Linked DNA regions of Tribolium castaneum. The protein of the gene in region 2 binds, or shares a complex with, the protein of the main gene of each other region. Links are inferred from orthologs where the notes say so. Each region holds a gene or a part of one and is shown on either strand. Other genes may lie near its edges.

Region 1 (4,442 bases), on a different chromosome or scaffold from region 2:
TTACTCAACGCTTCGTTGTTTCTCAAGGGGGCTTCGGTGACCCCCCAAGTTGGCTTTTTGCGATTTTTGAAATTTGTTAGCGAGCTTCAGTGCGATATTCAGGCGGTTGTGGTCAATTTCAACAATGAGATTGCAAGTGAGACACTTGCAGAAATCGACTCGAAACTCCTCCAAAATCGCGAGGCTTTGCCCGATTTATTTATCGCAATGCCGTACGACGGCTGTGAGTCTGTTTTTACCAAAAGGGGGCCCTCGAAGTTGGTCTTGCGGAGGGTCAAACAACTGGCAAGTGAGTCTTTGAATTGTTTTGGGCAAATCATCAAAGGAGAGAGTTTTGGTTCAATTAAAAGCTTGTTTATTCCGAATCTTGAGGGGTACGATGTTATTATTCACTTGCGCCCCCTTTTGAACCCCGTACGACACGAACAAGTCACTGGGGACGAGTCCGAGGGGCAAATTGTTTTGGAGGAATTTAACAGAAACGAAAGCACGAAAATTCCAGTCACTGGCTTTAACCCAGTTCAGTTGTATTTGGCCGAACTGCGCAAACATTACGGCGATTTTGCCAATTTTTTCCACGATACGTACGGAGGTAATTTTATCGGGGTTTTGTGGATACCTAAAGCTTTGGAAAGTCGAGACTTCAAGGTGAGATTTTTAGATGTTTTTTGATTTATTACATTTATTTTTAGGTGTCTTATGCAAGCGGGAGGAAACTTGTGAATGGAAAATTGGAGCTGAACGTGGATGCGTTGATTGAAGACTTTTATATTGTGGGAAAAGGCTTAGTCAAGTCAATTGATAAGAAGAAATAAAAAATCAAACAATTACTCTTATTATTTCTAACCATTACAAACCTTACAAATTAGTTTTTTTGGGCCCTCACGTGCTCAATAACCAGTTTTTCGGTGCTATATAATTGACTTACGACCACCTGGAGATAATTACGTCAATTAACCCCTAAACGAATTAATTGTGAATACCTGTCTTTTAATTACATCTAAATTACGAACTCCTTCATCCATTTTTTGCCTAATCACGTCCTGGTCAGTCAATTGTCTATTTTCCCGAAAACTGTCCCTTATCTTCCTTAAGGCATAGTGTCTACAACCCCCAATGAAAAAATCGTTTGCAAAAACGCCCTTACCTGAAGTTATAAGCCGGAAACTTCTTCGACTCGCGAATCAGAGCTTTATACAACTGCAACGCCTGTCTTTTACTCATTTTGCCCCAATTTTACGAAACCGAAAGAACATAACCAAAGAGTTGAGGTTGTGTTAGTTAGCGTTAGCCGTAACCTCAAACATGTGTTAGTTGTGTTTTTTTGGCGGAAAATAGTCTTTTGAAATGTCGGACGCTTGGGAAGAGATCCAAGCTATCAAAAGCAAGCGGAACATCCTGCGCGAACGCCTGGAAAAGCGCAAGAAGGAGCGGCAGGACATCCTTGGTTCGAGTCTCAACTCGTCACCTGTGCACCTGTCCGACAGCCCCCATGCGGGTGGTGTTGGGGGCGAAGATGTTAAAAGACCAGAGGAGGGTGAAATCGATTTGGTGAAAATCGACCCAGAGCTGGAGAAAGAGTTGTTGAAGGCGCTGAGCGAAGTCACTCTTCAGATCCCCACAACTTCGACGGAATTGGTCGATTCGTTGAAATTGACTTTGAAGCGACATGCCTCACATAAGGAAGTTTGCAATTTGTTGCAAAAATTCTCAACTCAGAAGTTGATCACTATCAAGGATTTAGTCAAAGAGGGGAAGAACGTGGTCGAAGTGACTTTTATCGATGTGACTAAAGTTAACGCAATGATTGCGGAGTTTTTGCCTGAACGGGTGAGGGAATCCCTGAAGCGGAAGCGAAACGACTCGGAGAAAAACGAAGACGAAGAGAAGAGGAAAAAAGAGAAGAAGGAACCAAAAGCTGACATCATGGTAATTAACTGATTGATTCTGTCCTTTTAATTAATTAATTTCCCTAGTCTTTACTATCAATGCCCTCAACGAAAGAAAAAGAGAGTAAAAAACTGGGCGAAGAAATTCTAGATCTGTTGAGTAAACCAACGGCCAAAGAGCGTTCGCTGGCCGAGCGCTTCAGGTCTCAAGGGGGCAAACAACTGATGGAGTTTTGCCCCCATGGGACTCGCGCCGACTGCGAACGAAACGGAATCACAGACTGCAAAAAATTGCATTTTAAAAAAATCATACAAAAACACACTGACGAAGCTTTAGGGGATTGTTCCTTCCTTAACACTTGTTTCCACATGGACACTTGTAAATACGTCCACTATGAAGTCGATCGCTGTGGGCAAACGGAGGGCGTAGCCCCGGCCGCCACCGCCGTCTCAGTGGCCCCAAAAGAAAGCACTACCTTGTACCCCCCGCAGTGGGTGCAGTGCGACCTGCGCTATCTCGACATGACTGTCTTAGGTTTGTTTGTCGGTCTTAATAATATTTGCGTTTGGTCGTGACTTCCAAAATTTAAAATCTTGTGAAAAGCTGCCATAATACGTCAAATGAGCCCAGAATTCACTGGAACAAACCGTTTTGCTCTACGACTTTTAGCTTTTGAGTTATAAATTTTTTTGTTGTAGAATTAAAAATTCCTCTTGAAATGGCTACCTTCATTTTTCAGCTCAATTATGGCAAAACTATTCAAAAAAGTGGAACAATTTTGATGGAAATCAATGTAAAATAATCCGGGGAATCGATTGGTGACGAGAAAATCGCCAAATACCCAGTAGTTTTTAAGTTACGAATTTTTTTCATTTTATTTTTTTTTATTTTTTTTGCAATTATCTCGAAAACTGTCGGAGAACGATGATTTTTTTAAATAACTGTTTTTCCCCGACATTTCCGAAAATATTAATGGTTGAATTTAGGAAAATTCGCCGTGATAATGGCGGACCCCCCCTGGGACATCCACATGGAGCTGCCCTATGGGACCATGTCCGACGACGAGATGCGTCAGCTGGGGATCCCCCAGCTGCAAGACGAGGGCCTGATTTTCCTGTGGGTGACAGGCCGTGCCATGGAGCTGGGCCGCGAGTGCCTCCAATTGTGGGGCTACGAGCGCGTTGACGAAATAATCTGGGTGAAGACGAACCAATTGCAGCGCATTATCAGGACGGGGCGCACCGGCCATTGGCTGAACCACGGCAAGGAGCACTGTCTCGTGGGCATGAAGGGCAACCCCCAGAACCTCAACCGGGGACTAGACTCGGACGTGATCGTGGCCGAAGTGCGCGCCACGAGCCACAAACCGGACGAAATCTACGGAATGATCGAGCGACTCTCGCCCGGGACGCGCAAAATCGAGCTGTTCGGGCGCCCCCACAACATCCAGCCCAACTGGATCACTTTGGGGAACCAAGTGGACGGGATCAAGCTGGTCGACGCAGAACTGATCGAGAATTTCAAGAAACGCTACCCCACGGGGAACTGTATGGGGCCCCCCGGTGACACGACCCATTAATTTGTTTATGTTTTGGTGGAGTGGTGGCGACTTTTTGCCTTATTGACTGGTGGTTTAGTGTCTTTAATCGCGTGGAGTTGGGGGGGCATCAGCTGATTTTGACAGATGTCAGGTTTGACAAGATGGCGCTTGGAAGTTTTACGAGTTTTTAGACAAAGGATCGTTCGATTTAAGAGAAAAAGAATAAACAGTTTTGATTTGTTGCTTGTTGTGTATTATTGTTGATTAAAGACTGGTTTTTATTGATTGCGGAAAATGCTGACGCTCAACGTTGTTCCTGAACGTTCTTTGGGCTGTGAACAGTGGGAGTTTATTGTAGGTGGGTTTCCCTTTTCTCTATTATTTTTATTGCGCGTAACATGGTTGACATCGTTTTTGCGATGGGGCGATGTGACGGCCAACACTGAATGGAAATTTGACCCATTTTACGTAACGCTAATTGGTTGGCGACCTTCAAAATGTAATTTCGAATTTTCTCTTTTCAGGAATGCATTTTTCCCAGGCTATTGCAATTATTCAGTCCCAAGTGGGCAACATAAAGAATGTACAAGTCCTCTATAACGATACTGTAAGAAAGAGCGGCCCCAAACCACACACTCACTAACGATTTTTCAGAACCCTTTAGACATAGACCTCGTTCTTAATTTACCCCAGGACGGCATTAGATTATTTTTTGACCCCATTTCACAGCGGCTAAAAATAATCGAAATATACTGTATGAAATTAGTCAAGTTAAAATACTGGTAACGTTTTAGCCCTACGTTCTTTTTTCTCATTTGTTATTCCAGTAACCTCCCATTTAACTCGCCAGAAGTACTGCCATCAATCGAACAAATTGAACACTCATTCGGTGCCACTCATCCAGGAGTATATGATTCGGAGAAGGAGCTATTCATATTGAATTTTCGGGGACTTTCGTTCTATTTTCCAGTCGAATCAAAATTCCAGTCTGGAAACACCCATAATCTGGGTA
Region 2 (3,822 bases):
AGCTAAAAACTTTTGTTAATCTCTTCACTGTTCATTATTTTTTAAAGTTGCTATGTTTCATAATAATTAATCGATCCCTAGCACAATGATGGATAATTATATTAAAATTTACTATCATACTTTAGTAGTTTTTTTAATTAAAAAAATTAAATTTGTCAAAAAATCACAATTTGTAGATGTGCCAACACTGGGAATTATTTCCTGGGAAACCGTTACAAAAATAATTTATTTTTATTGTTGATCAAATTATATTCGGAAGTAAAATTACCGTTGGGGGCGCCACTGAGCTAGGTCGAAAACAGTAACCATAAATGGCGGGAAAATGTTTATTTAGATGTTTTGAGCGTTGTACGAATTTTGAGGCTTCACAATTATTACAATGCTTATGCGGAATGACTATTGTATCTTTGGTGTAAGAAACGAATGTTGACAAATTAGAGATGACGAGGAAAACACGAATAACGAATGACTGTTTGGTTCACTTTCTTTATTGGAAAATTATTACAAAGACAGTGAAAAGCCTACCTTTTGGCATAATTTACGTTTAAATGTATCAGCAGTTGTTAATCTTAAATGTAGTTTTGTAGATTTACAGAAGTATTTCATGATTTTTTCAGTGGAAAAATTCTACCTAAAATTCAGACACTTCACTAATTTATTGGTTTCTTGAGCCCAACATGTGCTCGCTGTAATCTATCACTTATAGTCTTTAATTACACAACTGTTTAATAAGACTTTGTAATCAAAATTTAAATCTTTTTCACTTTTTATCCACTTTCAAATTCCAACAGTAAACACTTTATACCACGAAAAACCGCAGAACCAAAGTCAGAGCTAGTATTTACCATCATACACTTTTAAAGTGATTTTCTCTAATGTAAGCAATTAACACTATACACGCAAAATTGTTGAACAATTCATTAAATATCAATTAAATGTGTAATTACTGAAACTTTGTTACTGTTTTCGATATAATTCAAAAGTTATCACCAGAGGACGTCAAGTTAATTTTATTTCCGAATTAAGATCACGACTGTTAGACAACGTTGCCACATATCATTTATTTAAAATTCGTTATTTATCAATAATTTTAATTTAAAAAATTTTTTTACTATCTTTAGCTGCATTGAAGCCACAGACCGTTGAGTTGCACCAACTCAACGCACCGTCGGTTTTTGAGCAGCCGGTAGACTGTTCATATACCAAGAGGGACAAAATTAGTATTACATTTGCTGGTGATGGCTTTTGCCTTTTTAGAGAACGTTATAGCACGCTAGAACTCACTATTTTTATAATTTAAACTTTTGAAGGTCTAAAATGACATGGTTGTCTTTTTGTTTGATTTTTTATTTTTCAAACAAGAAAATCATTTTTTGTCAAAAAATGATCAAATTGGATATAAATTCAAGGACTTCTGATCTGTGTAGAGTAATTTAGCAGATTTTTTTTTAACCATGAACGTCACATATTTTCTTAAAAACCATCTAATTAGATCGAAAATTATCTAATTTTTAGGTAAAAACAAATTTGTTTGGCGAAATTTTCCTCCAACAAGGCGATTCCATTGTCGGTATTATAAAATAAGCTCGAGTCGACATTGGGAGAGAATTAAAAATAAGATTGAAACTGAAAGATTTTTTTTGACAGTAAATTTCACCATGTTATGTGTTTAATTTTGTATTTTTATTTTACTGTTAACAAATTTCTTATCAATATTATGTTCAGTTACCGCCCCTGATAACTAGAACACTTTTCGCCAAATCCAAAATTTTATTTTTATTTTTAACTGTTCTCGAACCCACAAAATTTGTACCAATTTTTGCTCGTACGAATTTAAAATCTTTGTTAAAACCTCAAATAAGGGGTCTTAGTTTTCAAGATCCGCAATTATATGCTTTAGATAAGTATAAATTTTAGATTTGGTGGTACTTCATCTACTTCACTTCGCGAGCCGCCATTGCCCAAATTTCTAATTGACATTCACTGTTTATTTGTTTGTTTCTTTAATTAGAAGACTGGAAGTACAGAACGCGACCACAGCCGCAACGAGCCCGAAAGGCGAGACAGAGAGCGAGACCGCGACAAAACCTATCCTCGCTCTCGTAGCCGCGACAGAGACAGGCAATCACGTGACTACAGTCGTGACGTAAGTCGGGAACGGGATTGGGATCGCAATGACCGGGAATGGGATCGTGACCGAACACGAGACCGGGATCGCGACCGCGAGCGCGACCGATCATACAAACACGACGAAAACTACCGAAGGTCGTACAATAGAGACGAGCGAGAGGAGCGGAAACGGCCGAGGACGCCGCCCATCCAATCACCGAAACGGCCACACACTCCGCACGGAGAGCGAAAAGAGCCGACCCCTCCCGAAGTGGATAGTTTCAGCGAAGAGGAGGAAAGGCGGGAGAAGGAACCGAAGGATGAAGCCACGGTTAAGAGTCCAGCCAAGGAGGTTGTGACGCCTCCCACTGAAGACACCGCTCAAATGGACGTCGAGGAATTCGAGCCGATTTTGAGCGATGAAGAAATCGTCGACGAAGAAATGGACTATGATTTCGGGGCGTACACGAATAATGACGATTTGATCAAGCTGTTTATACCGGGGGTCACGAATTTGCGCAAATTTGAGACAACTCCATCGTTTTGTTTCACGAATGGGGGCTTAAATGTTGACGAGAATTTGAAGACAACGATTGGCATTGTTGATGATTACTTCAAGTCGAGTATCACTAAATACGTTCTGGAGGATTTCACGAAACTTAACACAGAAATCAAGGAAGAGTTTATACACTTATGCGAAAAACTAATAAATACGTTTGGTTCAATTGACCATTTTCGCGACATTATCAAAATTAATGTTGCAATAAAGTCGCGTGATTTTCGCGAAGATAAAGAACTGGTCGAGCAAGTTAATTCGATCACTTGCACTCTTCTTGATTGGTTGAAAATCGCGCTTAGTTACGAAATGGCGAATATTCAAGACCAGCCGGTGTATAAAATCCGCCACATTAAGTGTGGGGTCAGACTGGCAGAATGGTGTTGCAGCAGCGGAGAATTTGTCAAAATTCTCTGGGAGTCAGGTTTCAACATCCACGAAGTTCTCTTAAGTCTTTACGACCAGGAATACATGGCTTTGTCCATCAAACTAATGATAATCAAGGCATTGGACACCTATCTCTTGCACAAATTTTCAATCGAAAAGTTCCTCTTGGGTGATTCTTCGAATACTTCCAATGGTTGTCGGGAGAACGGCTTTCACGACTCTTTGACCGTTTCGAAGAACAATGGTTACAAAACACTGGTGGAAAAACTACGAAAAAATCCTTCAGTCCGGCTAAAGTTTGCCCTAAATTCGACTCTCAAGAAGATTAATTTGTACGAAGTGTTTCACAAGATGCACTCCATTCTCATGGAAATGCGCAGTTGTCCATCCGAGATCAGCCCAGATGATGTGACTCTGATTACAAAGTGTTTGGAACAAATTCTGAATGCCACTCAAAATGGCCAGTTTGTGTTTTCACAACCGAAACGGTTTCTCCCGGTCGCGGCCCAGTTTGAAATGATTCGGACCGAATCCAAGAACGTCCTAGTCGAATATTTCCGAATGTTTGACGCTCTTCAGTGTTTCTTCCTACTGTTGACTTGCCCCAACACCTTGAATTTACCAGCGATTAAAACCCCCATTTTTGAAATCCTCTCCGATCTGTTGAAAACTCCCGAAGGTTTGGAGTATGTGGTTGATAACTACCAAACCGTCCAACCCCTGCTCAGGTGCCTCCTCAGAATGGATGAGGAAATGCAATACCAGGATTA

Evidence for each region.
Region 1: vir (region 2) and Mettl3 share a complex: the UniProt entries of both Drosophila melanogaster proteins name them as parts of the WMM complex. The link is inferred for Tribolium castaneum from reciprocal best matches to the Drosophila melanogaster genes vir and Mettl3.

Annotation. Positions count from the first base shown.
Region 1 is NC_087396.1:23,067,343-23,071,784, forward strand, and holds Mettl3 (N6-adenosine-methyltransferase catalytic subunit), read left to right. Parts: upstream 1-1,347; coding exon 1,348-1,929; intron 1,930-1,976; coding exon 1,977-2,424; intron 2,425-2,876; coding exon 2,877-3,469; 3' UTR 3,470-3,673; downstream 3,674-4,442. Other genes in the region: Mat89Ba (nucleolar protein 6), read left to right, coding at 1-648, 693-815; protein bcn92, read right to left, coding at 866-934, 984-1,104, 1,148-1,224; PHAF1 protein CG7083, read left to right, coding at 3,725-3,788, 3,955-4,037, 4,085-4,212, 4,258-4,439. UniProt on the Drosophila melanogaster protein: Catalytic component of the WMM complex, a complex that mediates N6-methyladenosine (m6A) methylation of mRNAs, a modification that plays a role in the efficiency of mRNA splicing and is required for sex determination.
Region 2 is NC_087394.1:22,059,579-22,063,400, forward strand, and holds part of vir (protein virilizer), read left to right. Parts: intron 1-2,011; coding exon 2,012-3,822. UniProt on the Drosophila melanogaster protein: Associated component of the WMM complex, a complex that mediates N6-methyladenosine (m6A) methylation of mRNAs, a modification that plays a role in the efficiency of mRNA splicing and is required for sex determination.